3 linked regions of the Arabidopsis thaliana genome follow. The protein of the gene in region 1 interacts with the protein of each later gene in a pairwise test. Each region holds a gene or a part of one and is shown on either strand. Other genes may lie near its edges.

The links.
Region 2: the proteins of LTA2 (region 1) and AT1G79070 interact in a two-hybrid assay, tested with the Arabidopsis thaliana proteins (one large-scale study listed by BioGRID).
Region 3: the proteins of LTA2 (region 1) and AT3G25545 interact in a two-hybrid assay, tested with the Arabidopsis thaliana proteins (one large-scale study listed by BioGRID).

What each region holds. Positions count from the first base shown.
Region 1 is NC_003074.8:9,454,306-9,465,815, forward strand, and holds LTA2 (2-oxoacid dehydrogenases acyltransferase family protein), read left to right. Parts: upstream 1-6,127; 5' UTR 6,128-6,326; coding exon 6,327-7,229; intron 7,230-7,313; coding exon 7,314-7,505; intron 7,506-7,627; coding exon 7,628-7,715; intron 7,716-7,802; coding exon 7,803-7,873; intron 7,874-7,955; coding exon 7,956-8,039; intron 8,040-8,175; coding exon 8,176-8,280; 3' UTR 8,281-8,708; downstream 8,709-11,510. Other genes in the region: AT3G25840 (Protein kinase superfamily protein), read right to left, coding at 43-199, 296-371, 561-629, 779-984, 1,245-1,432, 1,527-2,446, 2,785-3,141; AT3G25850 (Cysteine/Histidine-rich C1 domain family protein), read right to left, coding at 3,873-4,649; AT3G25855 (Copper transport protein family), read right to left, coding at 5,303-5,544, 5,781-5,865, 5,951-5,962; AT3G25870 (uncharacterized protein), read right to left, coding at 9,360-9,872. UniProt on the Arabidopsis thaliana protein: The pyruvate dehydrogenase complex catalyzes the overall conversion of pyruvate to acetyl-CoA and CO(2).
Region 2 is NC_003070.9:29,739,956-29,750,476, reverse strand, and holds AT1G79070 (SNARE-associated protein-like protein), read left to right. Parts: upstream 1-4,661; 5' UTR 4,662-4,669; coding exon 4,670-4,895; intron 4,896-5,145; coding exon 5,146-5,310; intron 5,311-5,433; coding exon 5,434-5,459; 3' UTR 5,460-6,206; downstream 6,207-10,521. Other genes in the region: AT1G79090 (topoisomerase II-associated protein), read left to right, coding at 1-926; AT1G79080 (Pentatricopeptide repeat (PPR) superfamily protein), read left to right, coding at 1,645-3,375; AT1G79060 (TPRXL), read right to left, coding at 7,414-8,604; RECA1 (recA DNA recombination family protein), read left to right, coding at 10,337-10,521.
Region 3 is NC_003074.8:9,275,167-9,285,722, forward strand, and holds AT3G25545 (trigger factor), read left to right. Parts: upstream 1-1,678; 5' UTR 1,679-1,803; intron 1,804-2,441; 5' UTR 2,442-2,470; coding exon 2,471-3,274; 3' UTR 3,275-3,525; downstream 3,526-10,556. Other genes in the region: TRAM, LAG1 and CLN8 (TLC) lipid-sensing domain containing protein, read left to right, coding at 1-229, 306-461, 540-725, 807-988, 1,064-1,095; AT3G25550 (F-box family protein), read left to right, coding at 3,712-3,872, 3,948-4,269, 4,365-4,421; NIK2 (NSP-interacting kinase 2), read right to left, coding at 4,384-4,430, 4,527-4,845, 4,939-5,318, 5,396-5,737, 5,833-5,985, 6,086-6,183, 6,340-6,399, 6,488-6,559 and 4 more.

The sequences.
Region 1 (11,510 bases):
AATTCGAAAAATTAGTTGGGGCCTAGAGAATGCACCACCTACATCGTCTCATTGTTACGGATAATTTTTATTGCCACCTCTTCAGGTTCAGCTGGTCCAGCTTTCAAGTCTTTAGCACGAACCACAGTAGAGAAGACACCTTTTCCATGAGTAGCAATGACTTCATATCTACCATCAAGTAACTCGCCAAACTGATAGCCTAAAAGGAGAGGAGACTCAATCTTTACAACGAAAAAATAAAACGTAAAAGTGCGTTCACCATTCATGATTGAAATGTAGAGAGAAACACACTTACTATAATAACCCTCTGCATCATCCCAATTATCATGAAGCCCGCTCCTCACCATGGGAACACCATCACCTTTCCCTCCCTAAAAGAAGTGGGTTTAATATAAGAGAAAAGAAAATATTAAAAACCCTCACAAAATTTTCCTCAAACACTAAAGAAAAAGGGTTTCATGATGATCAAAACAGTAAACTTAAGATGACAACATCAGAAGGTTAGTAAACAGTACAAATACACGGTTAGACGATATGAAGTAGTTAAGTTAAATACATACCACTTTTCGGATACCAGCCGGGGACTCTCCAAAGATATCATCATGAAACATGTCAGCTGACCTTTCACTCTGGACATATAAAAGTGTATAAGAATATAAGATCATCATCACATATATTTATATATACCGATAGTATAAACCTAAAACCAAGAATTACTCACAACCACACATGATCACCAATACCAAAGAAACAATCAAGGTTTCCTTTGCTAACGCACCTTCGGGCTACCTTCACCAAGCCCCGCTTGAGCTTGATTCTTCTCTGAGTCTGAAATTCCAGACATAGTAGGTGGCCCACCGGCTATTAATGGTGCCTTGGCAGCGACAGTATCAAAGTCCAAGTTAGTTTTGGCCTGGCCTACATTAGCTGCTATGACAACTGCAGGAGAAGTCGACACTGGAGCACCAGTTTCTGGAACAATATCTGCCACAAAAACAGAAGAATCACTGGGAATGCCTCAATGCTAAACATCTCAAAACAAGTTTTTACATTTGAACGTGGGAGAGTATTGTATGGACAAAGACATTGTCTGTGAGATCAACCAGTGAAATCTAATGAAAACAAGTTACAGCTTTTTGTTAAAGAGCCATTCACATATACCACGAGTAGAAAGGTGAAAACCTCATATTTGAAGAAATCAGAGTCGTGAAATATGGTGATCACAATAAAGACTGAACGAATACCTTTCCCATTATCCTGAGTTAAAAGTTCATTTTGCTGCTCGGGCTTCCTCTTATGTTTCTCCAGTATGGCTTCCATTCGCTTCCTGCTCTCTTCCTTGATTCTATTTAGTAATTCTTCTTCTTCTTCCTCAGGAGATTTCCATGTAAGTCCTTCGTCATTATCATCTTGACCATCCTCATTTCGGGACCTGACCGCAAAATAGTTACGAGCCACACAAGATACCCAAAAGATTTCTGATCTACAACAAAACATTAACAAGGATGAGGTTATTGAAAAATTACCTTTCATCATTGGCCCACGTTTCTTCTAACTTATCACCCTTAGAATTATGGGCCTTCAAAGAATTTGGCTTTCTCATTTCTAGGTCATCTACCGCATCATATCTTGTGTTTCTAGACTGTTTGTGCCTCATCTCACCGTAGTCCACATCACTACTTATGTACTTCTCCCTATCTTTCTGGGTTTCTCTTCCTCTCTCCCAATCTTTTTCACCCTCCCTTTCCTTTTCTCTCTTCCTCTCTCTGCTGTTATACCTGGTTCTATCTCTACTCCTACCTCTCTCATTGGCTCTATCCCGTAAATAATCTCCTTCCCTCTCCTTTCTCCTATCCCTATCAATGCTGCGCTCTCGTTCCTTCTCTTTTCGTCTTTCACGGTCAGACTCTATCTCCCTTCTCTTCTCTCGTTCTCTTTCCCTCCTCCGATCACTATCTTTATCTCTCCGCTTACTTCCTTCCGAATCCCTATCTCTTATGCTTCCCTCCCTGTCCATATCTCTCTCCTTACTTCTATCTCTTTCCAAGACTTCTCGACTATATTGCCTGTCATTTTCCTCATATCGCCCACGTCGATGATATCTTTCCTCAGTCCTAACTGAGTCAACTCTGTCATGATGATAATCCCTACTAGAATCATGATGTCTTCCTCTGTCCGAAAACTCATCCTCCGCAAACCTTGACCTAGAAGTTTCTCTCTCCCGATCATGTGACTTAGATCTACTCCGGGCACGGCCTTCGTTAGACTGCCTGCTGTTTGACGGAGAAAACGAACTTCTGCCATTATCATAACTTAATTTACTAACTCTCTCTGAAGGACCTCCAGCTTCTTTATCCCACCTCTTATCCTCCCTTTCAGATTCACGAGTTAGAACACCATTAGAACTCTTTTCTTCTCCTTGACGCCCTTTTTCCCCAAGTGGAGGCTGAAAGCATCGCAAAAGATATTCAGAATACTTACCAGAAGAGAAATACATGACACTAAAAACGCAAGAACATACAATTAAAAAAAAGGGAAAAAGAACATCTACATAAAACCAGTTCTTACAAATCAAGCGAAAGCCATCAGTCTCCATTGAACGCCTAGTGCAACACTCAGGTTATCTAAAGAAAACTCTCAAAAGACCAAAGCTTTATCATTAATTCAGGCGTAAATGCTGTTTGTAATATGAAAAAATCAATCAAACCCAAATCCACCCCTCTGATCCCACAATCCAAACAGAATTTAGGAAGAAAAAGACGTATTAGAGGGATTAGAACAGACCAGATTATTATCTTCAAATTTGATTTCGCCTGATTCGCCGTCGGAATCTGCCGTCTTCATCAAAACATCACCAATCCCATCTTCTTCTAAAATCTCTCCTTCCTCCACATCCTCCTCCTCACAGCCGTTACTAACAACAATTGGAGCCGCCGGAGTAACATCCAATATCTCTGTCTCATCGCCGGCGGATGGAATTTCATTTTCGCGCTTCTTATCTCGGTGATGGCGATGCCTGTGGTGATGATGCTTGTGATGACGATGCTTGTGTCGTTTCGATGCTTTTTCAGTGTCATCGGACGACGAAGATGAACGGTGATGCTTGCGGTGGTGAGATTCGATCTGCTTATCGTTCGCCATCAGAGAGTATCGTCGTAATCGAAATTAGGGTTAAGGCTCAAGAAATTTTGGTATAGAATCGCGACCAGAATTGCTTGTAACATCTTTTTAAAGGGATTTTATGTAAATAAGGCAAACGTGGCATATGTGTATTATTTTATTTAAGGCAACAAAATTGAATTAGATCATAGAGGTTGATCATTATTATTTCTTTAACAAATGATTAAAACATTTTTACATATATAGATAAAAAAGGTTTTGTGAAATTGGTATAAAAAACAATTTTGAGATATGACTCCATATTACTAGTGTTAAATTTGATATGCCATATTTTAAAATTTAAATCTTGAAACTCCTACATAGAAAATCAGGAAGAAATATATATTTTTGGTATGGTAGAAATCAGGAAGACATTTATATACAATTTTTTCAATAAATTAATTTTCTTTTGTAATTGTAATAATTTATTTCAAAATCTTTTAAAAATGAGTTTGGCCCCTTTAATCATGTGTTAGGCTAATGTGGTCATGTTCCATTAACTCTAGAATTACTAATGACGAGTCATAGACAAAATTTTAGACTTCAGGGTTCTTCGTTTGGTCAAGAGTCAAACATTATGTATACAAAAAGAATGGATCATTGTTGGACACAATCGTTGCACCACATTGTCAGTTTGTCACTAACAGAATCCGCATCAAGCTTTAAAATGAATTTCTCATAACATACACGCCAATATTTATTTTTCATTAGTTTTATGGTTCTTCGATTTCTTCTTCAGAACTATCATCTTCAATTTCCTTTTCGGAATCATCTTCGAGTTCATCTTCAAGCTCTTCTTTGGGTTCAGCTTCGAATTCTTTTCCATCCCACACGTCATCTTTCATCGCACATTTTAAATGAAATGCAAGACTAGGACAACGCAAGCATGTAAAAGCTCCATGGGAGCAACTAATCTTTTGTCGGCAGATTCCACATTTCCAATCTCCGAGACCAAGATGAAAAATGCGAGAAATGCGATGATCATGGCAGTTGATGCTTATAACTCGTGGTAGATATATACAATCCTTGTGGAACATCAAATTACATTCAAGACATACATAAGGATTACGCTTACCTTCTACGCTACATGCATTACAAGTAAATGTGACCACTCTCGGCAAAAGAGTAAGCATATGCATATGGTTTTTTGGGTGATAAATACTTGATGGTGGTGGATCTTTAAGACATTTGAGATCCATGTTGATGTTGCATATCAAACAATGAAAAAAATCATCAAGAAGATAATCTCTACAAAAATGACAATGGTCACCTGCATAGCCCAATGCCTCGAGTGTGTAGATTTTGAGAGAATGTTTGCATGGAGATGGATGCAGAAGTGAGCGCTTGATGCATTCCTTATGCCCCCAAAAATAGCACTTATCGCAGAAATAGCCAAAACCACCTTTCTTTTTGCACAAAATGCAAGAAAATCTGTCCAATTTCTCATATGCTAAAGGATGATCGTGAAAAGGAAACTTCTTTTCGGTCATGGTGAGTGTGTGGGGATTGGGTGAATCTAGAAAGCATAAATTTCAATCAAAAAAAGAAAAGAAAAGAAAGAAGAAAGCTTCACTTGAATATTTCTCTTGTAAGGCCTCTTCATTAGTGATCCTCATTGTCATTGATAGTCGTAGGCATTTTTGTTGTTCACTTGTGTTGTTGAAGTCTTCCCCTCCATTTAAAAATATGAGTAAAATTGGGCTGTTATTTTAGTTGTGGTAACCAACTCACATTTAGAATTTCAGAAAGCTAAGATTTCAATAATGATGTGTATTGTAAAAGGTTTATATACTCGGCTCTCCCAAATGTTCTAAACAATAGTTTGGGTTTCGTTTTTCCCAATTACCAAACAAAATTTTAGATATATGTCCATTTCGGAACGAGACCTTGTCTTTACCGTATTCGTCTCGGGTTTCTAGTCCCATATCCGCTCGTATAATTAATTGTTTTGAGACAATGTAATGCATTGAATATATATCAACTTTTATATATACTAGGTGATCATCCGCACTGCGCTACAGAGTTTTCTATATATTTGTACATACAAACAAACGTGTTGGTCATTATATGCCATTGTTTCTTCTAATAGTTCTCACAAATGTTTAGGCATTGGAGGATAGAAGAACAAACGAATTAGAGATATCTAACACAACAATGGTGTGGTCATCTGATCAGGTTGATTAGAATATTCATGTGGCTGTTCATACGGTAGCTCGTGCTCGCTTCCTTCTTCTCCTCCATGGCCATTGGTGAGATCTTCAACTTCGAGAATCTCAACCCTCCGTTTCATCTTCCTTTGCAGTTTTAATGCAACATCGGATGGTCGAAACCGTCCGCAAAGGATTACTTGACGTTCCTTTTTGTTGATCATGTGTGTATCAACTTCTTCATAAAAAAGTATCCAAAACATGTGTTAGTATTGAATTTTCTATAAATCCACCACGACTAAACCTACATAAAATGGTGCATATAGTAACATCGATAAAATTTAACGATGTCTTTCTAAAATTTTCAGATTTTCCACTCAAAAAATCCTCCTTGAACTTTAAATCTTATTTTCATAACATCCTTCTTTGCTCATTTCATCCACATATTATTTTATATAACCAATATAAACCAACCTTTCATATTGATGATAATCCTCCTAGCTTTTCTACAACAAGCATTGCAATCCAAGTTAATCCTCATCACAACACAACATTGCTTCTGCATTTCACCACCCCAAAAAAAAAAAAAATTATCACAAATCCAAGAAAATTATTGTTCAAACAAATAAAAGAAAACACAAAACCTTTTCCGACATGAGACGAAAGAGCAATATTGTATGATATGTTTTTGGTTAAGAAAACAAAAGTATACTTATAAATTAAGATTTTGGAATCTGATTCTCTAACTTAGGTAGAGCAGAGAAGATATATAAGAAAACTGGTTTTGTTATGTTACCTAATATCCATTGAGAAGCATCTAAATTTTCTTTGTTTCTAGATGGTTTAACCTAAACCGAAGTTTCAGATAAATTAATCCGGTTTAATTATATATCCGGTTATTAAACTGGTAACTGATACAAATGTAGGCGAAGACGCTCAACGAACTTCAACCTCGTCTTCTCCGTCCACTTCACTCTCTCTAAACTCTCTCTCAGATCTCTCTCTCTCTGTGATTCAACAATGGCGGTTTCTTCTTCTTCGTTTCTATCGACAGCTTCACTAACCAATTCCAAATCCAACATTTCATTCGCTTCCTCAGTATCCCCATCCCTCCGCAGCGTCGTTTTCCGCTCCACGACTCCGGCGACTTCTCACCGTCGTTCAATGACGGTCCGATCTAAGATTCGTGAAATTTTCATGCCGGCGTTATCATCAACCATGACGGAAGGCAAAATCGTGTCATGGATCAAAACAGAAGGCGAGAAACTCGCCAAGGGAGAGAGTGTTGTGGTTGTTGAATCTGATAAAGCCGATATGGATGTAGAAACGTTTTACGATGGTTATCTTGCTGCGATTGTCGTCGGAGAAGGTGAAACAGCTCCGGTTGGTGCTGCGATTGGATTGTTAGCTGAGACTGAAGCTGAGATCGAAGAAGCTAAGAGTAAAGCCGCTTCGAAATCTTCTTCTTCTGTGGCTGAGGCTGTCGTTCCATCTCCTCCTCCGGTTACTTCTTCTCCTGCTCCGGCGATTGCTCAACCGGCTCCGGTGACGGCAGTATCAGATGGTCCGAGGAAGACTGTTGCGACGCCGTATGCTAAGAAGCTTGCTAAACAACACAAGGTTGATATTGAATCCGTTGCTGGAACTGGACCATTCGGTAGGATTACGGCTTCTGATGTGGAGACGGCGGCTGGAATTGCTCCGTCCAAATCCTCCATCGCACCACCGCCTCCTCCTCCACCTCCGGTGACGGCTAAAGCAACCACCACTAATTTGCCTCCTCTGTTACCTGATTCAAGCATTGTTCCTTTCACAGCAATGCAATCTGCAGTATCTAAGAACATGATTGAGAGTCTCTCTGTTCCTACATTCCGTGTTGGTTATCCTGTGAACACTGACGCTCTTGATGCACTTTACGAGAAGGTGAAATTGAATTGAATGAAACAGATGAAGCTGATGTTGTATTGAATGATGAAGCTGATGTTAAATCACTGCTTTTGTTTACAGGTGAAGCCAAAGGGTGTAACAATGACAGCTTTATTAGCTAAAGCTGCAGGGATGGCCTTGGCTCAGCATCCTGTGGTGAACGCTAGCTGCAAAGACGGGAAGAGTTTTAGTTACAATAGTAGCATTAACATTGCAGTGGCGGTTGCTATCAATGGTGGCCTGATTACGCCTGTTCTACAAGATGCAGATAAGGTAAGCATAAGCAATAAAGTTGTAGAAAATAGCTAGCGTGTGAGTGAATTAACACACACACTTGGTATTATTAGGCTGGTTTCTTTAACTGAATGTGTGAGTCGTGTTGGTTGTTTTGATAGTTGGATTTGTACTTGTTATCTCAAAAATGGAAAGAGCTGGTGGGGAAAGCTAGAAGCAAGCAACTTCAACCCCATGAATACAACTCTGGTACTATTCTTAACGAATTGTTTAGATGACAAACATGTGAAGTGTGTTTAAGGATTTTGATTTAAGGGATATATCTATGGAATGCAGGAACTTTTACTTTATCGAATCTCGGTATGTTTGGAGTGGATAGATTTGACGCTATTCTTCCGCCAGGACAGGTATATGAAAGAAACTTTCATTGCCTCTTCTATGAATAGTGATTACAAGGAATTTACTTAATTGTTATACTCAAATCTCTAGGGTGCTATTATGGCTGTTGGAGCGTCAAAGCCAACTGTAGTTGCTGATAAGGATGGATTCTTCAGTGTAAAAAACACAATGCTGGTAAGTTTTATTTTGACTTAATAAACTTCCTGATGGGTTTGGTGAATCACTTCGACTTAGAAAGTTTAAAATACGATTAGCTATAGCTTTTGGCTATGCTAACAGTAACATTGTCGCTTTGTTGTTATGTTGGCAGGTGAATGTGACTGCAGATCATCGCATTGTGTATGGAGCTGACTTGGCTGCTTTTCTCCAAACCTTTGCAAAGATCATTGAGAATCCAGATAGTTTGACCTTATAAGACGCCAAGCGAAGACGAGAAGTCAAAAACAGTTTCCAAAATTCCTGAGCCAAATTTTTCCCAAGTAAATTTTTTAATCTTCATTGTTCTTGGTCTTGCTCTACTTCTTTTGCATCTTTTTCTTCACTTGTGTTGTATCTGTATTTTTGTTTTCAAGAATCATCATTTTGGGTTTTAAACAAATAATTTCCTATCCAGAATCAGCCCACCGGCCTTAAGAAAAGAGAGTTACTAGACACGGCCTATTATCTGAGGGCATATCTGTTGTGTCTGTATTTTTTTTGGGCACGGCCTTAAAGATTGTGCCCAAGCCAAGCAATCTATTGCTTAGATCTCAATTTACTTAGTAGAACGAACATTATTTGGATTTGAAAATTAGACATATATCAATTAGGGCTGAAATCCAACATACCACAAGCCCAATTCTTGTAAAGAACTAAAGAAGGACTAATCAGAGATTGAATTACCATTGTTGTTTCAAAACTCAACTTGTTTGGGTGAATATCCCTTTTTCATTTCGTGTTTTAAATTTTTACTAACCATTTTATTATTTATTTTGTTGTATACAATATGATTTAAATCATGTTTAAATTTTTTTTTTTTAACATCAATCATGTTTAAATTTATTGTATTTTTGGAAAGGAATAAGTTAGCAAAAACTTTTAGTAAATATATATATATGGATTGCAATGGTGGAAGTCTAGAACCTTTTTGTAATCAACAATAATTTCAGATTCTGATATGAAAATCTTTTTAATAATTCTGATCTCTGGAATACCGAATACATCCATGATCATATAAGATTGTAACATTAACACAAAAGCTAACGAAATGATAAAGGCGATTAAAGATTAACAGTTCCTGAAGAGAAAAAAGTTCTTACAAACTAATCTAAACCACTTACTCCTACTAAAAACATTTTGATTTTTCTAATCCTAATAACTTAACAAAATATATAGATCCTAATACCTATTATCCAATAATAGAGGGAAAAAAAAGAAAAAAGAAAAAGCGAGGCAAAACGCTTAACAAAACGTCACCGTTCGTAGCCCGCTTTTTTAAAAAGGTCCGGTATGTTGTTACTCCGCCGGTAAAAACTCCGGCCGCCATGAAAACAAATCGCCGGAATCTAAACACCCATCGAAATATTCGAAAAGCCCATCATCACCAAGATCGCAAGGTCCGAACTCCGTAACATGATCCTCAAACCCACATAACTCTCCAACCTCTGATGAATCCGACGAGGCTCGTACCAATTCCGTCACCGTTTCCTCACACGACGGAGGAAGAAGCGTTTGCGGTGGCGTAAGCGGCGGTGGCAAACCCAGCTCGTCATCAGAAGCTTCGAAAAGGTATCCAAGATCCGGCTGAGTTTCACCGGAGCTTAGCGCCGCCGTCGTTGTCGATAACTCATTCTCGAAACTCTTCATCACCGAGTCAAGATCTTGACTCACTGGGTCAAGCCCCGAGTCATCGAACAAATCATCTCTTAACCGCTTCACGTCCGGCGAGTCGAGGTCTAACCCGTCTCTGACTCGTTTATTCCCGACAGAGTCAGTCCGAGTTAGCCTCTCCTCCAATAAATCCTCCATAGCTGAACCGGTGGTACGGGTTATCGCTTTGGTTAAGATGGTACGGTTTTAATGAGTGGCAATACTGTAATTAAGCGTGAGATATGGGTACAGAATCGGAAGAAGGGGAAACACGAGATTTTATAGTGGAGAGAAGATATAAAGAGAAGCAGATATAAAAGTCGGTAACGAAAGAGAAAGCGAGTGATTTCAGACGCAGACTTTGGCGCGTGTATAACGAATAGTTTGGGCATCACAGATCTTTCACTTTTTTTTTTCCTAGTTCTTTTTTTTTCTGGTTTTTATTTTTATTTGGTTTTATATTTTTTGGGATTTCAAATGTCGTTTTCTAATTTCTGAACGTTATTATTAATTGGTTTAAAATTCGGTACGTACGTTGCAGGACACATGCTCGGTCAGTTAGGTTTTTTGTGTTCATCAAAAAAGTTGTATAATTAAAAACAAAAGTGTTGTATAATTAGAGAGTACAAGACGTTACGTTGTTGTTGCCTTACCCAAAAAAAAAAAAAAAAAGACGTTACTTTAAAATCCAAATTACAGCATTTAAAATCATTACCAAACACATCTAAATGGTTTTGTTTTTGTTTTGTTTTAAATCAAGCCGACAACAAATAAGTGAAATATACATAACCAAAAATATGTATTAAAAAAAAAGAGAGTAGAAGACGTTACATTGTTATTTGTAACAATATTACAAGGCATATAAGGAAGAAAGAATAAAAAGAAGGAAACGTTACGATAATAGAAATCTTGAGGATGAGTGAAAACAAAGAACATGTAGAATTTTGTACAACACATCACGTGAGTACATAAAGCAAAATCAAGTACACAAAACTTCCCACCATAAATTACGCCGGCCCACCATTCTTAAGTATCATTGCCAAATCTAATTGATTATAGAACAAATGTTATTTATTTCGATTAAAGACAGATTTTATAATTCCCTAGCACTAAAGGTTTTTCTATTGAGACATCATGTTATTTTATCTTTCTTTTTTTGTTAAATGGAAAATTTATTTAATCTGGAAAAAATAAATACGTATCTGATAGTGAAAAGGTACGTATAGCTAATCATAACTGGGACTTGGGACTGTCGAGCAAAGTGATCAGTTAGCCATATGAAAAATGAGTATTCAGATGTTGCATTGGTGAACTAGACATTCTTATACCAATCTTTATGTGGTTGAGCTATGAGAACCATGGATGGAGAAGCTATATATGTACATGTAAAAATCAACAAAAAAAAAAAAAACTCGTGGAAATTATTAATGAGACCGGGACCATGCGTGAAGAAACTATACATAGAAGCTATGTACAATTCTGACTTTATTTAAATTCTTACCGCAATTTCTTTCTTTACATGTCTATCAATTTGTGGATTGTACATAACACGAAAATATGAAATTAATAGATAAGTCTGCGTTTTTATTTATCAATTATATTATTGGTTAGGCAGGCGGTAGAAGCTAAGTTAGCTAACTATAGTCTTTAAATATATGCGAAAAGTTATGTGGTTAAAATATCAGAAATTCGAACAATAAAAATACAAAATTAGTTAGGTGTTCTTAAACAAGTTAAAGACTAATAAATCATTTGAAATGTGAATTTTCGTCAAATTGGTATTGAATGGAGATTTTG
Region 2 (10,521 bases), on another chromosome or scaffold:
CAGCTAAATTTGGTAATGCAGAGCATAAACCTACGGATAAGCCCCTTGATCAAGAGCCGATGCTTGCAGCTAGAGTGTACATTGAGGATGGTCTTTGTCTCCTCCTTGAAGTTGATGATATAGATCGTTTCTTGGAGTTTAACCAACTCCAGGACGGAGGACACCAGTTGAAACAAAGACGACAAGCATTGTTGCAGAGCCTTGCGGTTTCACTTCAGCTCGGTGATCCCCTCGCCAAGAATGGGCAAAGCCAGTCTCTTGATGATTTTCTCTTTCTAAGGGTTATCTCTCTTCCAAAGGGTCGAAAGCTACTTATAAGGTATCTTCAGCTAATTTTCCCTGGCAGCGACCTAATGCGGATAGTTTGCATGGCCATTTTCCGTCATTTAAGGTCATTGTTCGGAGTCCTTTCATCTGACCCCGATATCATCAAAACCACAAATAAGCTTGCAACAGTTATCAACTTGTGCATTCAAAACATGGAGTTAGGACCGGTAAGCACGTGTCTAGCAGCGGTGTCTTGTTCTTCTGAGCAGGCACCGCTCCGCCCCTTAGGCAGTCCTGTTGGAGACGGAGCTTCCACAGTATTGAAATCAATACTCGACAGAGCTTCCGAGCTTATCCGGGCTAATAATTTCAACAACGCAGGGATAGCTCTATGGCGCGCTTCCTTTAATGAGTTCTTTAATATGTTGATGAGGTACTGCATCAGCAAATACGATAGCATCATGCAGAGTTTGCAATTGCCACCGCATTTTGCCACTGAGATATCTGAAGAAGCTGCAAAAGCCATTGTCCGCGAAATGCCAATAGAGCTTCTACGTTCAAGTTTCCCACACATTGATGAGCAGCAAAAGAGGATACTGATGGAGTTTTTGAAACGATCTATGCTCGGAAGCCAGAAAACCGAGCCAGTATTAAGTTGATAGGATGAAGATTGAAACAGTAAAATCAAAGAAACTGTATGGTGAAGTCTGTATATGAAGGCATAAAGATCACGCAGATACCGCGGGAAGAAAGGTAGAGAGAATCGATTCAAACTATTTCTATTTGCATCAGAGAGTTAGGATTCTTCCTTCAAATGGACAATACTGGTTTTGTGTCTTATAGGTAAAAGCAGTGGAGAAGAAGTTTGGTCTCTGTACAGAGAAAAAAGTCTTTAGGTTTTGCAGAACTTATGAAGAGGTTTCAGGCATTTGTATTTCTGTCTTTTGTTTAGTTGATCTCATTGTCGTTTCGATATTTGTTTTTGAAACCTTGTTTATGTTTTTGATAAATTCTCTTTCCTTTTTTTTTCTTACTCTGTTTTACCAATAAACATTCTGAGTTATGCTTTGGTAATGATTACTCAATTTGTTCTTCGTACCATCTTCTCTCACAAGCTCGAGCATTCACGTTTCGGCTAAAAGAGTGGTGTACACGCGCATGTTTGGACGCGTTGATAACAGAGGCGGAGGAAAAAAGGAACCAAACCTTTCGGATCTAAAGAAGAACACAAGAATGAAAAATAATTAGATTGAATTTGATTTAGGATCAGAGAGTGGGAAAGTACATAATGATCCTTTTCTTTTCTGGGTTGTTCGTAAAACCCAAAACTTTCATTTCATCTCCTTCCTTTTTCTGATTGCTGTCCGATTTTAAGCCATGTCGACTCTACTGAACTCAGTCTTATCCATGGCGTCACCGGAATCATCGCCGAGAAAAGCCGTAGGTTTTGTTTCCCACATCCCTTCTGGTTTCCTTCATTTCTCCTCCGTCAGTAAAGGTGTTGCTAGGGTTTTAGCTTCGACCCAGATAACATTATCCCCTAAAGACTCCGCCTTTACCATTACTGGATCCAGTTGGAAACCCGATTTGGATTCCGGGTCGTTTTCTGATGACCCGAGAAGCGACGAGCCGAATTTGAGCGATAGTTTCTCTCATCTAGAAAGTTTAGTCACGGGAGGGCATAAACCCAATGTAGCTCATTCTACTCAGCTCTTGTACGATCTCTGCAAAGCCAATAGATTGAAGAAAGCCATTCGTGTGATTGAGCTTATGGTTAGCTCCGGGATTATACCCGATGCATCTGCTTACACGTATTTGGTTAATCAGCTTTGTAAAAGAGGTAACGTTGGTTATGCGATGCAGCTTGTTGAGAAAATGGAAGATCATGGTTATCCTTCTAATACCGTTACTTACAATGCCTTGGTTCGAGGTCTTTGTATGCTTGGTAGCTTAAATCAAAGCTTACAGTTTGTTGAGAGGTTGATGCAGAAAGGCTTAGCTCCAAATGCTTTCACTTATTCTTTCTTGCTTGAAGCAGCTTATAAAGAACGAGGAACCGACGAAGCTGTGAAGCTCTTAGATGAGATCATTGTGAAAGGCGGTGAACCCAATTTGGTTAGCTATAATGTGCTGTTGACTGGTTTCTGTAAAGAAGGGAGAACAGACGATGCCATGGCGCTGTTTAGGGAATTACCTGCAAAAGGGTTTAAGGCAAATGTTGTGAGCTATAACATTTTGTTGAGGTGTTTGTGCTGTGATGGGAGGTGGGAGGAAGCGAATTCGCTCTTGGCTGAGATGGACGGTGGAGATCGAGCTCCTTCAGTTGTTACCTATAACATATTGATCAATTCGTTAGCTTTTCATGGAAGAACAGAGCAGGCACTGCAGGTTTTAAAGGAGATGAGCAAAGGAAATCATCAGTTTAGAGTCACTGCCACGAGCTATAATCCGGTGATCGCCCGTCTGTGCAAGGAAGGAAAAGTTGATCTTGTTGTGAAATGTCTAGACGAGATGATATACCGGCGTTGTAAACCAAACGAAGGAACGTACAATGCAATAGGTTCGTTATGCGAGCATAACAGCAAGGTGCAGGAAGCGTTTTACATAATACAGAGCTTAAGCAACAAGCAGAAATGCTGCACGCATGATTTCTACAAAAGCGTAATCACGAGTCTCTGCAGGAAAGGTAACACCTTTGCAGCGTTCCAGCTCTTGTACGAGATGACTAGGTGCGGGTTTGATCCCGATGCGCACACCTACTCGGCTTTGATCAGAGGGCTGTGTCTGGAAGGGATGTTTACAGGAGCCATGGAGGTTTTGTCGATAATGGAAGAGAGTGAGAATTGTAAACCTACAGTGGATAACTTTAACGCCATGATCCTAGGGTTGTGCAAGATAAGGAGGACAGATTTGGCAATGGAGGTGTTTGAGATGATGGTTGAGAAGAAGAGAATGCCGAATGAGACAACATATGCGATACTCGTTGAAGGGATAGCTCATGAGGATGAATTGGAGCTGGCTAAAGAAGTTCTTGATGAGCTACGATTGCGTAAGGTTATAGGACAGAACGCAGTAGATAGGATTGTAATGCAGTTCAATTTAGATTGATGGGTAGGAGGCGAAGATAACGAACACCATGAGGCTTTTTTCTTTTCTATAAAACTTTTAGTATACAGTATTTTTTCACTGTTTGTATCATTTTTATGGAGACGATGATTCATGTAATCTTCAGGTTTAGAACAACAGATCAGAGATCAATAAGAATCAAGTAACACACACACATTGTGCCTAACATCTTAAAGATCCGATTGAAACAAATGGAGACAATGTGTAAATTCTAGCAGCGAATAGGTGTAGACGATGAAGTAAAGTCTGAAACTTTCTTTTTGATTAAAATCTTAAACAAGTCTGAAACATAAAAGGAAGCTTATAGTAAGAACAATGTTTGCAAGAGAGAAAGGGAGAGAAGCAAGAAACAGAGTCGCATTGTCTTCAAAGGCAAATTTACTTAGAACGCTGTCTCATCTTTCGTCTCTTCCTCTTAAGCCTCCTCATACGCTTCTTCTTCCACTGCAAAAGAAAAACAAAAACCATTCACTAAACCCAAACTAGGATCATATTGTATGGATCAGAATTGGCTTCTACTCACCCAAAAAAAAAAAAAAAAGAGGCAATGATCAACCATAAAATTTACATAGTAGGAGAGATCAAGATAGTGAAATTGAAATCGTAAATTCAACAATAACCCAAAACTTGATTAAAATCCCAACATTCTCTTCCATCAAGTACAAATCACACATAAAATGATATGATCAATATTAGGAGAGACCAACATTGTGAGATATAAAACTCAACTGTTACAAACCAGAGTATCTCATTTCATACCAAATCTTCCAGAAAACAGAGCTCTTATATCAAATCCCAAATTTAACAATAACCGAACTTTTGATGAAAATCCCAACATTCTCTTTCGGCAAGAGCAAAACCATGAGTAGAAATCACAATCCTAATCAATAAATTTCAATATCCTACAGGTCGTGCTACACTAAACCAAGGTTTCAATCTCACTCGACTGATTCTATAAACAGCAATTCACAAAATTCCCAATATACTTAAAGATCAACACACAACATTTTTGATAAAACCTACAGAAGCATAGCTAAAGTTGTAGATAAAAAACTGACCTTGGCTCTCATCTTGTCGCTCTGAATCGAATCGGAGAAATGAAGGCGTCGTTAAACATATATACACACACACACATTTGTAGAAAAGCCCTAAAATATCTGAATCGGAAATACATTAACTTCTCAGGGCTATTTGCGTCATTATCCACACAAGGCTCTTTTTCCTCTTGAAGAAAACCTTAAAAAACCAACAAACTTTAGGAGAGCCTCGCCGGGAAATGGAGCAGCTATCAGACTCGGACCACCGCGATTCTGCTGATGCAACTACTAGCTCATGTCAATCCACCACCGCAGAAGATGGTCAATGCGGCGGCGGCGGAGAAGCAATGGCTCGAGGCTTATCAGCGATGCTCGAGTCCGTCATTAAAGACTTTGACTCTAAAGCTCTTGACACGCTCAATAGCCAAGATGAACTCTCCGGTTCTCTCGATCGCCTTGTCCAAGGTACAATTTAACCTCTTCCCGAGATTCGTATTTAACTTAATTGGTGAAATCAATCGATTCACAAGCTTCGTCTCCGTATTTGTTAATTAGATTACGCACAAATCAATCCAATTGATCCGATTAAGTTTCTTAACCATTATATTGCCATTGGTCTAACAAAATTGCTTAAGAATTGATTCTTGTGAAATTTTTAGATTGGATAGTGTTTTGTTTTTTCACACAACAAAATTTGAATGTGATGGAAACACAGAGCTAGATCAATTACTGGAAAACGCTCCATTGCCATTCATTGTACAACACGCATCGAGAATTTCCAGCGTCAAACAAAGAGTTTCATCTCTGAATCTTGTTCTTAAATCTGTCCAACGACGTATCGATAACATCGATCACATGCTCTCTGCCAACACCACGCAAGGTTATAAATGCTTTTATCAAAACCAAATCCAAAATTTTATTAGTTTTGGGAATTTGTGAACTCACTACTTCGTCATCTATATATAGTGCATTATTATCTCACTTTGTTTTCACTGTAACACAGAGAAAGCATCCTCGGAAACTACATGATGACGAAACACTTACTCACTCTCTGTTACTCTGTCACTCTCATCTTCGGATTTGGGAGCAAACCCAAAGAGGTGAGTGTTTTTGTACAAGCGCAAGTGTTTTCTCATATTGTTGTGTTATTGGGCTTTTAAGTGGGCTTTTATTGGATCAGTTCGTTTCTAGTTTAGAATACCCAAGTTTCATTTTTTTATTTAGATTGTTTTATTATAATAGATAAGTAATTGTTATTTTGTATCGTTGCAAGCTCTAATTCGATGAACCACATGGTCCATCAATCAATCATGTAGAACAGAATTTTCAAGTGAATATGTCGGGTCGTTTTATTTTATTTTATTTCGTTTTGGTTGCATTGTTGCCTTGTTGGTAATAGGCTTTACAAAAATTAATATCTAATAATCATAAAATCTTGTCACGTGGGTCTACGACAAAATCGATAGGAGGATGCCCGTATATAACAGAGTCACGTGTCTTCTGCGCTGGGTCACGTGATTGAATGCCTATATAATTGGATCTCGTAGGCTTTTAGTTTTTAGATGTCCTAGTGCTCTCTCTGTAGACTACAAGCTTTTCATAAGGAGGAGACTACATGGGCCACAACTTTCTTTAGTTGATCGATAATTACTATCTTCCTTCTATAAAGAACCATGTTTTTTTCATTATTATGATTAAACTTTCTATTTATGTGAACGATGATGATGGGTGTGACTTGTAAGGGTGTTAATAGTTAATGATGATGCAGAAGAAAAGAGGTAAATTAAAACTATGGAAGACCGAGCCTCTGACCAAATATCTAATTGGTCCGTTTAGTGGGTACATCCATACAAACACAAAAACCTAAGCCCCATTTCGGGAACTCTTCTAAAGTATGTCTTAAACCCACAAAACTAGCTTACTTTTGCTCTTTTATTCGCTGCTTTTACAAATCATGAGCTGCAAAGTAATGACTAGTAAGTATCATAGATGTTACTTTCAAGACTATATACACTTTTTTTTTTCTCAAAATGGAATTTGATTAGAAAGCCTGTACCACAAATGCTGTTAGGGTATTTTAAGTAAGTGAGTGGAGGAGAAAGGGGACCAAAGAGAGAAGTACAACAGGAGGGATAGAGACAGGTGAAAGAAGCTTAGGGGGTCTTGTACTTGTACAATCTCTATTGCTGGTCCAATCTATCATTTTTTAATACGACTTAATAGTAGTCTTTGAACAGTTTGGTACCTTTCACGTACCATTATGATAATAAGGTCGTGAAATCCTGACACTTAAACATGTGATGATTCAAACCGAAGACCACCAATAGCTCCAACATTAATGGTTAAACGAACCTTCCTTGATTAACAAAACAACAACCAACGAATAAATAAACCGCAAAAAAAAAGAAAAAAAAAAAACTCAAAATAAAGAAAGAAAGAGAAAAGTGTGGTAAAGTCTCTGAAGACTGCATCATTTCCGAAACACAGAAAACGACAAAATAAACTATATAATAAAAAGATACATTAAAAATAAAATCACATGAAAGAGACAGCTTAGATAAGCTTCAACGTGGGGAGAGCGCAAATACACGCAGAAGAAGAGCATATGATAGAGAGCAAAAGAATCTGTTTCCTATGTTCTGACCCACGCGCATCCCTTTAGCGCGTCTACCTCACTCTCTCTATGTGTCTCTCTCAACCCAAGCACAAGCAAAAACACACAATTTAGGAGTCTCCATTTCCAATTTTGTGTCTCTATCTATGTCAATGAACCCTAGAATTACACTTCACCAATGGCAGATTCTTTATTTACACACCCAGGACAATTCTAATACCTTATAAAAAAAAAGCTCTGTTAAAAATAAGATTTGTTGTAAACAAACCAAAAAACAGAATGATTACTACTAGAGTACTAGCTAGCTACTGTTGAATCAATACAGTGTTGTTGTTACCATTGATGGTTCCTTCATTTATAATAGTCGGGTTAGATTCGATCCGTGGAGTTACGGCCTCTACTGATGTGACACGACGCTCTATTATTGTTGTTGTTCCCTGTTCTATTGTTCTGCGACGAAGATGAAGATGACGAGGAAGAGAAAAACTGACCAAAGACTACTGAACCACCTCTGATTGAGCAAACGGGAACGTTCAAAACTGGAGTAACCCTAACGTTTGAGCTATACGATCTCTCCATTCCTCTGTGTCTATACCCGCTTGTTCCACCATTGAAGCTACTCGGACTGCTTGAGCTTCGTTCTAGATTCTGGAACACGATTTTACCTGAAGAGTTTAGTCTTGGACTGTCTACAGAGACTCCTCTGTTCATTATGGCTGATGTTTCTCCACCGGAACGTCGCATCGGACTGCGTCCAACTCTTCCTCCTCCGGTTCCTGATGTTGAATGGTTCACTAACCTCATTCTCGGTGGATTTGGGTTTAGGCTACGAGCCGGAGCAAATGGATTCGCAGTGAGATTGTGGTTGAGGTTAATGATGTGGTTTTGGTTAGGTCTCTCTGCATCGAGAGAGAGTCTTGGAAGATCTTCGTGGTCATGGCCAGAGGAGGAAGAGGAGAGAGACATACGAGAAGAGGATATAGAGACAGATTCGGAATCGGAATCTTTGAGGAGAGGAAGACTCATGAGTAACGAAGCATCTGAAGAGGACGACGAGGACCTGGAGCTCCGATGCAAGAACTGTTTCAACGACGAAGTTGACGATCTCGGATTCGTCGTCGTCGTCGTCGCAGTCGACGCGGATTTGCTGCTATTCTGAGAGAATCGTTTGAGTCCTAACAAGTCCCTCCATCTACTTGAACACCGTGGCGCCTTTGGAGAAAACGAGCAATTATCGCCACCCCCGGAGATCTCAATCTCCACGACTTCCATCCTCCTGCATTTCCCGCCGATCTCCGTCGTCTGTTGTTGTTGCTGCTTCGTCACGAGTTTACCGTCGGAGAAAAGCTCATCGGCTGGGAGCATTCCGACTGGATCCTCCTCTAACCTAAACTCGAAATCACCAGCTCCGACTGCTGTTTCCTCCTTCGGAATCTCCGATGCGACGGATCCAGAACTCCGACCACCGTCGTCACGGCTGAAAGAAGCTCGTGGATTGAAACATCCGTAAGTAGGAAAATCCTGAGAAACAGTAACATTGTTGACGCAAACAGAAGCCATCACCGGCGTTCATGCAACAAACTTATCGCCGTCGGGAGAAAATCAACGGCCAGATCCAAACGAGAGAGAGAGAGAAGAAAGAGAGAGGTTTATGGATGAGTGACAATGGTTTGTTTGGAGCGTTGTGAGTTTGTTTTGGAGAGTAGGGGCCACGAATGCCATCCACAGTTATTATAAACGACCCAGGTGGCGCGTGCTTCTCACCGCACTAGTGGGGGCATTCACGGTATTTGTTCTGTTGGAGCCAATGGCGGAGCCTCTCGGATCAACGGCTAATTCACAGATTAGTAACTTTTTAATTAACTTAATTGTCTTTCTTTAATGGAAACTATTATTATCTAACTCTGGAATATTCCAAAAAGTTTACCTTATAAATTTGGGAGACAAAACCTTTAAAAATATTTGTTCATGAATCATACTAATACAGAAGGAAAAAAGTTGGAGGTTGGTAATCATTAATGATTAATATATAGGTCACGTGATATAAGGGGTTATTTTGATTATCAATAAATAAGGTCATCGAACAGCTAGCGATAAGCTGTGTTGATCAAGAGTATGGATAAGCGGCCACGGGATGATAAGCGGGAAAAGTGACTATTCGCTGAGAATTTATGTGTTTTGATCGGAGAAATTAGACAACTCGTAATCTCAAAAGTTTTCATTAAGATAACAGCATTCATTTCTATGGTTTTGAGATCAATCTGATTTCAAAAGACAATCTTCTACACTGTCTTTAATGTCCTTTCGAGTTAGGGATTGCTATCTCTGTATGTATAATCAAGTGGTGCAGTGCGTGTGTGTTTGTCTCTCTTTATCTGGTGTTGTATCCATTTTAGGATGGACTGTAGGCTAAATCTGAATTGAATCAATGTCCTTTTGTTTGCAGATATAATCCATTGCACATGCACACATCACCAGTTGTTTTTCCTTGTTGTATCAAGCACATGATACTTAAAGGGAATAACATGAAAGGTACATAGTTTGTCTCATCACTTTCTCAGTTTCCGATTCATGTATCTTTCATTCGTTCCTCTTTTGATGTAGCCAATTTCAATGCTCTATTGATTTGCATTATCATCCAACTTTTACAAAAAAAATAAGGATGAGTTGAGAGTACAATGAAGTTGTGCCGATCCAAAGGAACTAGTCATGAAATGATGATGGTGAATAGCTAAATGATTCATTGTTGTTGCATGTACAAATGATCCCAACAACGTTATTAATAAGTTTATAACTGCAGGATTGTGAAAATCTTAATAAGCATCAAAATCTATTAGGCTCATAGTATAGTAGCAAAGCTTGTTGTTTAAGAGTAAGTTTCAAAATTATGCTGGAATATAGTTTGAATAACTTCATTGGCATGTGGTTTTCAGAGTGAAGAAGAATGATGGAGTAGTTTCGGAGAAGATGGAGGACTTTTGGGGTTGCATTGTCATGGAATATGATTCAAGCAATTGCAGGAGATGATCAAAAGTCTTTGAGCTTTGGTCCTTGCTTCACCAAGAACAAGACTTTTTTTAGTTTTCTTCAAAAGCTTAGCAAAAGTCAAAAACCTAAGCTGATTTTGTGTGTTTTTAATCTCATATTCATTGCATATTTTTTGTTATGGATGGAATATTTTAGTTAGCTGATAATATTAACCAAATATAATAATTATTTTAAATATCGAAAATTATATGAGGTTCTTGTTGTTGTTGTTGGTCTTTTCGACTTTCTGCTTAAACCCAGAAAAATGGATTCACAGCTAGTCTTGTCTCTGAAGCTGAATCCAAGCTTCACTCCTCTTTCTCCTCTCTTCCCTTTCACTCCATGTTCTTCTTTTTCGCCGTCGCTCCGGTTTTCTTCTTGCTACTCCCGCCGCCTCTATTCTCCGGTTACCGTCTACGCCGCGAAGAAACTCTCCCACAAAATCAGTTC
Region 3 (10,556 bases), 180 kb from region 1:
GTCTTGTGATCTATGGAAGGATGAGTACGAATAAGAGTGACAACATAAAAGACAGGAAGAAAAATAGTCCAAAAGTTCGAAAATTTAAAGAATCAGCTTGGAAGTGTATTTACTATCTATCAGCTGAGCTACTTGCTTTATCTGTCACATATAATGAACCTTGGTTTTCAAATACTCTCTACTTTTGGATTGGTCCTGGAGATCAGATTTGGCCTGATCAACCAATGAAGTAAGTTGTTTCGTTATGGTCATCGATATCTTTTGTGATGGTCATTTGCTAAAATATGATACTGCTATGTGTGCAGGATGAAGTTGAAGTTTTTATATATGTTTGCTGCTGGATTCTACACGTACTCTATATTCGCGTTGGTGTTTTGGGAAACAAGACGGTCTGATTTCGGAGTTTCCATGGGTCATCATATCACAACGCTTGTTCTCATTGTCCTCTCCTATATCTGCAGGTACGTATATTATACACTTGTGTTGTGGAGGAAAGGATACACTGACTCTTGTTTTGTTTTTGGATGTTGATGATATAGATTAACTCGTGCTGGTTCTGTTATTCTTGCACTTCATGATGCGAGCGATGTGTTCCTTGAAATTGGGAAAATGTCTAAATATTGCGGAGCGGAAAGTCTCGCGAGCATTTCGTTTGTTCTTTTCGCGCTGTCTTGGGTCGTTCTACGTCTCATTTACTATCCTTTTTGGATCCTGTGGAGCACGAGGTTTGTTTAATATCCACTTTAGCGTTTGTTCTTGAATGTTTTTTCCTTGATGTATATATATTGTGGGGTTTTGATTTGCAGCTATCAAATCATTATGACTGTGGACAAAGAAAAGCATCCTAATGGACCAATCTTGTACTATATGTTCAACACACTTTTGTATTTCTTGCTTGTTCTTCACATATTCTGGTGGGTTTTGATTTACCGGATGCTTGTGAAACAAGTGCAAGATCGAGGCAAGCTTAGCGAAGATGTTAGATCCGGTACGCAATAAAAACTCTTATTACAATATTTTGAGACAAAAACACTCTATTAATAATGTTCATGTCTTTTTGCAGATTCTGAAAGCGATGATGAACACGAGGATTAATCGCATGTTGGGAATATTAGTAGTGCACACGCTCTATATCTCATGAATCTGAACCACACGGAGACTAGGAATTTCAACATCAAGTAGGATGCATTGCAGTATTTGAACAGTTGGTTCATCATCTTCCAGAGGATCGTAACCGGATCAAACCGTTTTGAATGAATCGGTTTCTCAATCTGAATTTTTGAGTTTATTGTTTTCTCTAAAGTTTGAGCAAATTCAAGATTTTGATCAAACTGCTCCACGTTCTATTGTTTTTTCTTCTATAATTTTTAATTTACGCTTTTGCAATAACACAATTCCTTGTATCATTATACTAATGTCATCTCAAAATTAGCTCCCTTCAACATCTATGCAACAGACTAACAACTAAATGAATTTTCTTGGGGTTTTTTTTGGTTCATTGCATAATTTGATAAAATCCAATAAAATACTTGGAAAGGATAAAAGAAGAATAATTTTTCATAAATGAATGAAAAAAAAATCAGCATCTTTAGGCGCACAATAGTATCGCACGATAGCGACGCACAATAGTAGCGCACGATAGCGGCACATAATAGCGACACGCCTATGGGATTTGTTTGAGGTTTTAGCTTTCTCGCTGTCTTGGCCGAGAAGACTGAAACCAATTGCAACAAAAAGAAAGATAAAAAAAAACAAAAAATCTCTTCTTTGTTCATCATCATCGATCGATTCTACTGCAACAAGGTACGTCTTTTTCACTTCCTTCTCTGAACAAAACTCTAAATTTTGTTGCTTTTTTTTTTCCTGTGTCGTCTCGCGCTGCGATTCTTATACATCTTGGCTTCAAGTGATACTTTGCTTCCCAACTCTTGAAATGTATAAATTTTGAGACTTTACTGGAGATTTTGAGTTGGGATTGTTTTCATGTTCTTAAAGATTCGAGTTTCGATCTCTATATGATTCAGTAGATTGTAATTTTGAATCGGATGTCTGGAAAAGAATTGATTTTATAGTCTCTTAGGTTACTTTAAGTAGTACTTTGCATAAGATCTGTGATTTGATGATTGTTATCTTTTGTTACATTGCTGGTGGAGTATAATAAGATGAGCAAGAACCAACAGAAGTTTGCGTTTGATTTAGGTTATTTAGCAACTAGTCCTGTTTTGGTGTGTTTCTAATCTCACTCACTGGGTCTCTCTTATGTGGAATATAAGATATTTGATCCTACGACTGTTAGTGCTTTCATGCTGGGTTTATAATATGGATACAACTGAATTCCTGGCATTACATTTTTTGTTCAGAACCAATGAACTGTTTGTTTAGGTGTCATTGTTATCTAAGTGCTTGCATCCTTCTTCTGATGTGTGTGTGTCTTGATACAGGTCTGTGAGATTTTGATAAAAGCTAAGATATGGAAGATGTACTTACCGAGAATCCTCCACCTTCAAGATTCTTCCAAGAAGATCTTAACAACTTTGTTCAGCCACCTGAATCCCTTCCATCTCCTTTCATCATATTCTCAAACCCGAAACCTGAACTTCCTCTCCGACCATCTCTACTTATCATAGCCATATCTTCACCTTCCCTCTATATTTTCCATAGTTTACCTTCAAAGACTCTCCTTGGAAGTCTCATCATGCCTGAAGTTCCGTTTTCTGGAAACACCATGGAACCTTCTTTAGAAGACAAATCCTGCAACATATATTCCTTGAGTAGTGCTGATGATAAAAACTTGACCCTCCTCGTCTCTGTTCAGCTTCCTGTATCTCCTGAACGGTCTAACCTAGTCTCGAGATTGCTCATTGCCAAAGACATTATCCCCGAGCGGGTGATAATCTTGGATTCCATTCAGAGCCGTAACTTCAGAGGTAGACTCTCACCAGACGAAACATTGGCAGCCAAACTCGAGACATCTGCTGAGAAGAAAGCAACAACTCACACCGGTTTAGTGAATCTCGATTACTTCCCATCAGGGAGTGTAATCGACGGTCTGAGTGCTTCACTTTTGAGCCGGTGCCAGCTAAAGAACATAAGAGGAACATTGGTGATCTCATGGCCTGAGTTTGGTCCTTCAGTGATAAGATTCGCCGGAGCTCTGCTGAAGAAAATTGTCCCGAGTTTGGATGTTGCGAGTGTGAACAAAGATCTGGAGAAGAATTCTTCAAGAACTGGTCTTAAAAAGGATACTTGGCTTGACTCTGATCTATATACATGATTCAGAGACAGAGTAATGAAAGCTTCTCACTTGTTTCATGTTTCTATGCTTACTAGGAAAAAACAGAGACCTTATTTACGCTTGTGTTGTTCTCATTGCAAAAACAGTTTTGTTTCATTTCTACATTGTTCTTAGGTATGTGAGGACTTGTGATTTTTCTTAGTACACACAAATTATTGGGCTAACAACAATTTAGCGGAGTCGAACTCAAGTGAAAAATGTGGAACCACTTGACTGAAGACACTTCCCCGTTTTGGTTACAATCTTTGTAAAACGAAACGAATTTTCTTCATCCCAAAATAAGCCAACACATATCATGGGAAAGATTGCTTCGTCCTCTTCAGAGAGAGGAAGAAAAAGAAGAAGTGAATATCACGCAAGAGATATTGAAAGAGAAACCGAAAGAAGAAGACGAAGAAGAGAAGAAGAAGCAGGAGATGATCATGCATCATGGAAGAGAAAGCAAAAGAAGAAGAAGACAGGTTATTAAGATACCAAACGACGATGTGTTGGAAGAGATTATAGTAAGGCTTCCAGTGAAAACCCTAACTAGATTCCAAACCGTGTCTAAACACTGGAGGCATACGATAAAGTCTAGGTAAATCAGGAAGAAATACATGTTGCATCAGAAAACAAAAGAACCCAAATTTCTCTGTCTCTATGAAGTTAGAAGAAACGGGTCTAAGCCAAGCATTCGTTACAAGACCATGAGGTTGGAGTGGTCTTTGAGTCGTCTAGTGGGAGAAGAAGAATATTTAACTAGCAAGAAACACAAAGAGAGGCGGATACTATTTTCCAAGAGTGTGGATGGTCTTTTTTGTTTATATAGTGGTGTGGACATGAAACAGCCAATTATGGTGATAAATCCAGACACAAGATGGTCTAAGAAGCTCCCTCTTGCTAGGATTCAACGAAAGAATTATTTAGACAGCAACAAGGTAGAGTTCTCTCGCCTCGGGTTTGGAAAAGACAGCGTCACAGGAACATACAAACTAGTGTGGTTACGTACCAAAACAAAGAAGAAAATAAAAGAGGAAACCTCATCGACGATGACATGCGAGGTTTTCGATTTCGTTTCTACGAAATGGAGGCGGTGATTCCACCTCCTCCTAATCATGGGATAAAGCATGAGAATATGTCTTTCTGATACCAAAACCTGTACAAGATCACAGCATACAACAAAATACACAATCTTATATATGTTTTTTACAAACCCAAAGCCATTCATATAGTTTCTCTTGTCATCTTGGACCTGATAACTCCATGGCTTGAACCAGCACCGAGGAATCATCTGTAAGATCCGAATAACGTTCAGAGGAAGAAAACTCGTTAGGTTTACTGTAACTTCTATTGGTTTCTGCTCTCTGAGAAGAAGCTTCCCATTTCTCAACAAGACCATCGCCTTCAAGCATTCTCACAACTTCAGACATCTTAGGACGGTGAATGGGAAGATACTGTGTACAAAGCAAAGCCACTTGAACCATTTCTTCCACTTCTATTCTATCGTAGTTGCTCTTCAAATCCTTGTCTACTATCTGTTCTAGCTTCTTCTCTTGTTGTAGTTTCTTTACCTACAAGTAACCCCAAAGAAAAAACCCTAGAAGTGAGTATTTTTAAGCTAACTGAAACAAGAAGAGAAAATGTTTTACTCTTTTACTTCTTACCCAATCAAGTATCGCTCCTCTTTGGTTTGCTGCTTTTCCGAATTCAAGAGCTCTCAATCCAGTAATCAATTCGAGAAGAAGAATCCCGAAACCGAACACATCTGTCTTCTCAGAAGATTGTCCTGTTGAGAGATACTCAGGTGCAATGTGACCCACTGTTCCTCTCACGGCGGTTGTCACATGCGACTCCTCATGATCCAAAAGCTTAGCCAACCCGAAATCTCCGACAACAGCTTCAAAGTAATCGTCAAGAAGTATGTTCGCAGCTTTGACATCACGGTGAATGATCTTTGGATCACATTGCTCATGCAAATACAGCAACCCTCTTCCTGCTCCTAATGCTATTCGCTTTCTTGTGCCCCAATCCAATACCGGTTTAGCTGCAAACCATTCACACGAATCGTAAACCGGGTCAATTCATGTAAAGAAATCAAAATCAAGGTGTTTAATTAACTACCTTTGAGACGAGAAGCGACACTGCCATTGGACATGTAAGGATAAACGAGAAGCCGTTCAGAGGAAGTAGTACAGAAACCGTATAAGCGGAGGAGATTCCGGTGGACGGCAAGGCTTATCATTTCAAGCTCTGTCTGAAACTGAACCTCTCCACCACCATTGTTTATATCCTTTAATCTCTTCACCGCGATGATACTTCCATCATGAAGACAACCTTTATACACATTTCCAAACCCTCCTTTTCCGACCAGATTCTTGCTGCTGAAGTTACTAGTTGCGGATTGAAGTTCTTTGAAATTAAACCTCCTTAGATTCCCTAGACACATTTCTTCCTTGTTTTGCTCTGTGTAAGACCCAAAAATTCACACACTCACATTTGTCTGGTTTCACATTCAACAGTTAACGAAAAGGGATTAAAAATGTCATTGTGGGTCTTACCATTAATGTCAAAGAATAATACTTGTTTGTTATGTCTTCTTCTCCACCAAAGAAGAAAACCAAAGCCAATGATCAACAAGCAAACACATGTCAAGCTTACACCGAAGACTACCGCGATTTTCCGGTTTTTAGTTCCTCCATCAGATGATTTATCTAACAACAACAACAACAACAAGAAGAAAAGAAAAATCAGTTTAGATATATTCTCTAGGATTCAAATATTACTTTAAAATATTGAAAATTTAGATATTACTTTGAGAACTGTTCAAGGTGATTGACATTGGCTTAGGCTGAGTCCCATTACAGTCTTTCTCAGTTCCTGTTGGACAAATCTGAGAATTGCCCATAACACTGCATAACAAGTTAAATAAAAACTATATAATATAATTAGGGTAACGTATAAAAGTGGATAAATTACAGAGAAAAGAAAAACACAATTACACTGTTACTTTCTCAGAACAGAGTAAAACAGAGCAGACAAATATTCTTTCTCGTAAATAGACTTACTTGAATGTTTTGGCAAGTGATCTTGGAACTGGTCCACTCAAGTTATTATACGACAAATCCCTGAAAAACATTTACAAAATATATATAAACACAGATTTATATATGTAAAATATAATTTAAAGAAGAAAATAAAAGAAAGAGAATGTACAAAAAAGTGAGTTGGGTCATGTTTGCCAATGAGCTAGGAATTGTTCCTGTCAGGCTGTTATTATTAACCCTCCTGCTCCACAATTTTCAACACAAAAATAATCTCTCCATAAATAATTTATATAAAAAATATGATAAAATAAACAAAACGAAAAAATGGATAAAATCATACAAGTACTGAAGATTTTTGGAGTAAGAAAGAGTGAATGGGATTTGACCAGTGAAGTTATTGGTAGAGAGATCAAGTGTTTTGAGTTTCATCAATTTCCCAATCTCATGAGGGATGTTTCCTGTTATGTAATTGTTCTGCAATAACCTGTATCTCCAAACAAAATTATTAGAAAACTAAAGTGATTAAGAGATGAAGAAACAATGTTTTAATAATTACTACAAAACATACTTACACAGTTTGAAGATTTGTTAAATTTCCAATACTTGATGAAAGAGTTCCTGATAAGTTTTGGCTTGGAGCTTCTCTACATACACACAATAGTAAAAACTGTAAACACATGATTACATATATGTGTGTGTGTGTGTGTGTGTTGGTGTGTAAGTGCTTACAGCCTTATGACAAAACCATCAGAACAAGTGATCATGTTCCAGCTACATGGATCAACTGCTGTGTCATCCCAATTCATTAGAACTCCATGAGGATCAGTCAGTGAGCTTTTGATTCCTATTAAGGCAACAACTAAAGAAGAAACAAAAAAAGAAAAGCATGTTTTAGGAAGAAAAAAGGAGAAACTGAGAAGTGGGGGAAGATTTTGTTGATGAACATTACCTTCAAAGTTAACACCTTTGTCTGTGAGTTCTGCAGAAGAAGAAGAAAGAAAACAGATAAAGAAGAAGAAGAAAGTTGAAGAGAACAAAGCATAACTCTTTTTTGCTTCTCTTCTTCCTTGCAACATCTTTGTCCGAATCAAAACTTGTTTTTCTTGAGAGTATTAATCTCTAAGGTGCAGAGTTTGAGGTTTATTTCTTTTGTATAAGAAATATTCTTTTTTTCGATTCTTTGTTTGGAGGTTTTTAAGAAAAAGATGGAACAGAGGATTTTGATTTGGAAGTATTTGTGAGTGAGAGTTAAAGAGGGAAAGAGAAAGAGAAAGATTTGTCTGCCAATTATTTATCTAATGGTCCTCTAGACTGTAAACTGGAAAAGGCCAGAGACAAAATCGGGAAATGTTTAGTTTTCAATCATGTGATAAAAAAACAGAATTCTATAAGATTTTTATGGTTTATATACTTCGCGCACACAAAAAAAAAAACTTGATTTATATTAAGTTATCTACAAATATGGGTCCATTTATTTAATTTCGTCTCTCTTACCAGAATTCGACTTCGTTTTTTACATATATGAGAATAAATTATTGAAAAAAAACTATATTGTAGTGCTTAAAATTACAAAAATGCAAAGATGGTTTACTATACAATCGTAGACACAAAACAAAATTGGTGAAAAAAAAAAAGACACAAAACAAAATATATCTATATCATAAAAAATATACAAATGAGTTTAACAATGATGAAATATTACATATGTACGATTTTTTTGGTTTAATAAATAATTTTGTTTTCTTTTAAATCAACTCATTGGCAATCGACTGTTTTCAATTTCAATTATGTATATTTGCTTTGAAGAAAATGTATTTTTCTAGACAATCAACTGTTTTAGAAAAACTTAAGATTTAATATTGAAAATAAATAATTATGTGAAATGTTGTATTGAATGTTGCATAGTTATACTGGTACATGGACAATGGTGTGAGCTAGTGGATTTACCAGCCTTGCTCTTTAAAAAGGGATGATGCTACCAAATCGAATATGTACTAAAAACAAAAAATCAATTAATATGTTTTTTGGGTTATAAAATCAATAGATATGTTACTTACTCTTTAGACTTTTTTTTGAAGTAATGTATTTGGATTCGAAGACCTGGTTGTGTTCTAAGTCTAGAGGATTAATAGACTCAACCTGTTCTCGGATGTAGGAAAGCAACAAACGATAATCAATTAGACCTAAGATAAGCCTTCATAAAAAAAAATACATCATACTATTAATCAATTAGAGCAGGTGAAAAGTGAATTTATATGGTAAGCACTAAGCACCATTAATCTGTTATTAATAAAGCATTTATATTCCGGGAAGAATAACCAAGTGGCCTCGAAGTGATAAAGTGTGAAAATTATTGTGATGTAACGCAAAGTTAAATAAACTGTGAATTATAAAATTATAATAGTGGGACACTCGTTGTGTCGATGAGATATACTGTGAGTCTGTGACTTAGAACTTTTCTTTTTCTTTTTTAATGACTCCCTTTAACTCTGTTTTTATTCCCACTCATCACAGTTAATATATGTTAATATCTTCATAACTATTCATTAATTATATTAAGATATTTGATCCTTTTTCTATCTATGCTCTAAATTCGTGCTAAAATATGTTTTGTCAACCATTTGAAATTAAATATCGTTTATCAATGTTGTTTGTTGATAATATAACATGTGCTTTCGCCAAATGGATGGTTTTCTTTTCTTCCGAATGTGACAATGTCAATTGGATATTTTAAGCGGTGGAATATTAGATGGTACTTTAGAGGGTAGAATTAGAACTTGATAAGACGGAAAACATATGATCGAAATGAAGTTAAAATGAGAAAACTACAAAACTCGAAATTCCAAAAGAAGAAATAATGATTGAGAGCTTAACATTTGGTCTAAAATAAAAGAAAATTGTTAGAGAAAACAAAAGTTTGAAAAGAACTTACCAAATGTAGTACATAATAGTTATAGTTAAGTTGATCAAGAAATTAATAATGATGCGACTTAATGTTATAAAATAGTGATTTTCCCCCATTTTGTCTTTCGATTAACATATATGGAAATTTGATATTTTTTTCTACCATGTTGTTCCCAATCGGATGTGCGTATATTATTATTTTACATGAGTCTAGTACTTCATTACTTTACTACTGCACAATGAAAAAATGATTGATGAAGAAATTATTGGATCGAGCAACTGCTAAGCTTATATACAAACACAAAAATCAAATCTTTGTCTACGCAGTGATTAGTCAACAGACAAGCCACTTTTTAAACCACAAAAGCAAACTGCTTTATAAAGCAAAAGCTGTTCTCCTCTATCTTTCATCATTACTCTAATTTCTTAGTGCATTATCATTTATTTCATATACTACAATTTTATTTTGGTTTTTTTCGGGATAATGTCATGATTTGTATGTCGTGTGCATGGATACACGTGTGATACTAAGTATTAACATAACAAATTGCTTATTTCTTCTTCATCATCATCGTTTTCTTTGACCACGTCTCATGAATTTGCAACCGCATTGTAACTTTGTATGCATAATAATGAGATATCAAGATTGATTGTACTTGATATTAGTTTTGTTTGAAATCTCTGACAGTTAAAAAATAATAGTGACTGACTGATATTAATTATGATTCGTTGATTATTTTGTTATAATTATCTGCTCGTCTTTCGAATAAAACTGTATTAGTCCATGAAATAAATCATTAATGAAATTTTCCTCTATAAAAACAAATTAAAGGAAATATGAAATGGACTTATAAGCATCAAATATATGCATAAGAATGATAGCAACCGGAAAAAAAAAACTCTACATCAAAATCAGATTGCACATCTCTAGTTATGAACATATATAGCCACATCAAAATCTTACAATGTAAATGGTTAATAGTATAAAAATCATGTTATTGACTGTGTCATGTACATCTTATGTGTGTCCTAATTTTCTATCCAATTTAGATGAATTCTTTATGGTTTCATTTAGCACAATCAAAAGAAAAAACAGAATTCACGTATAAAAAGAAAAAGAGAAAAAGAAAAACAAAAGTGGGATTAATTAGCAGATCTCCCACTGATAAAAGTTCTATACCCTCAAATGAGTGGGAAATAATTATAATATAGTTTTTATAATTTTTGTGATTAACCTTGTTTTGTATAATTTAAAACCTATGTTTTTTCTTTGAAAAAAAGAGGTCATAATATTATTATTTTTGAAAAAAACCAGGGTCATAAGATTTGATTCA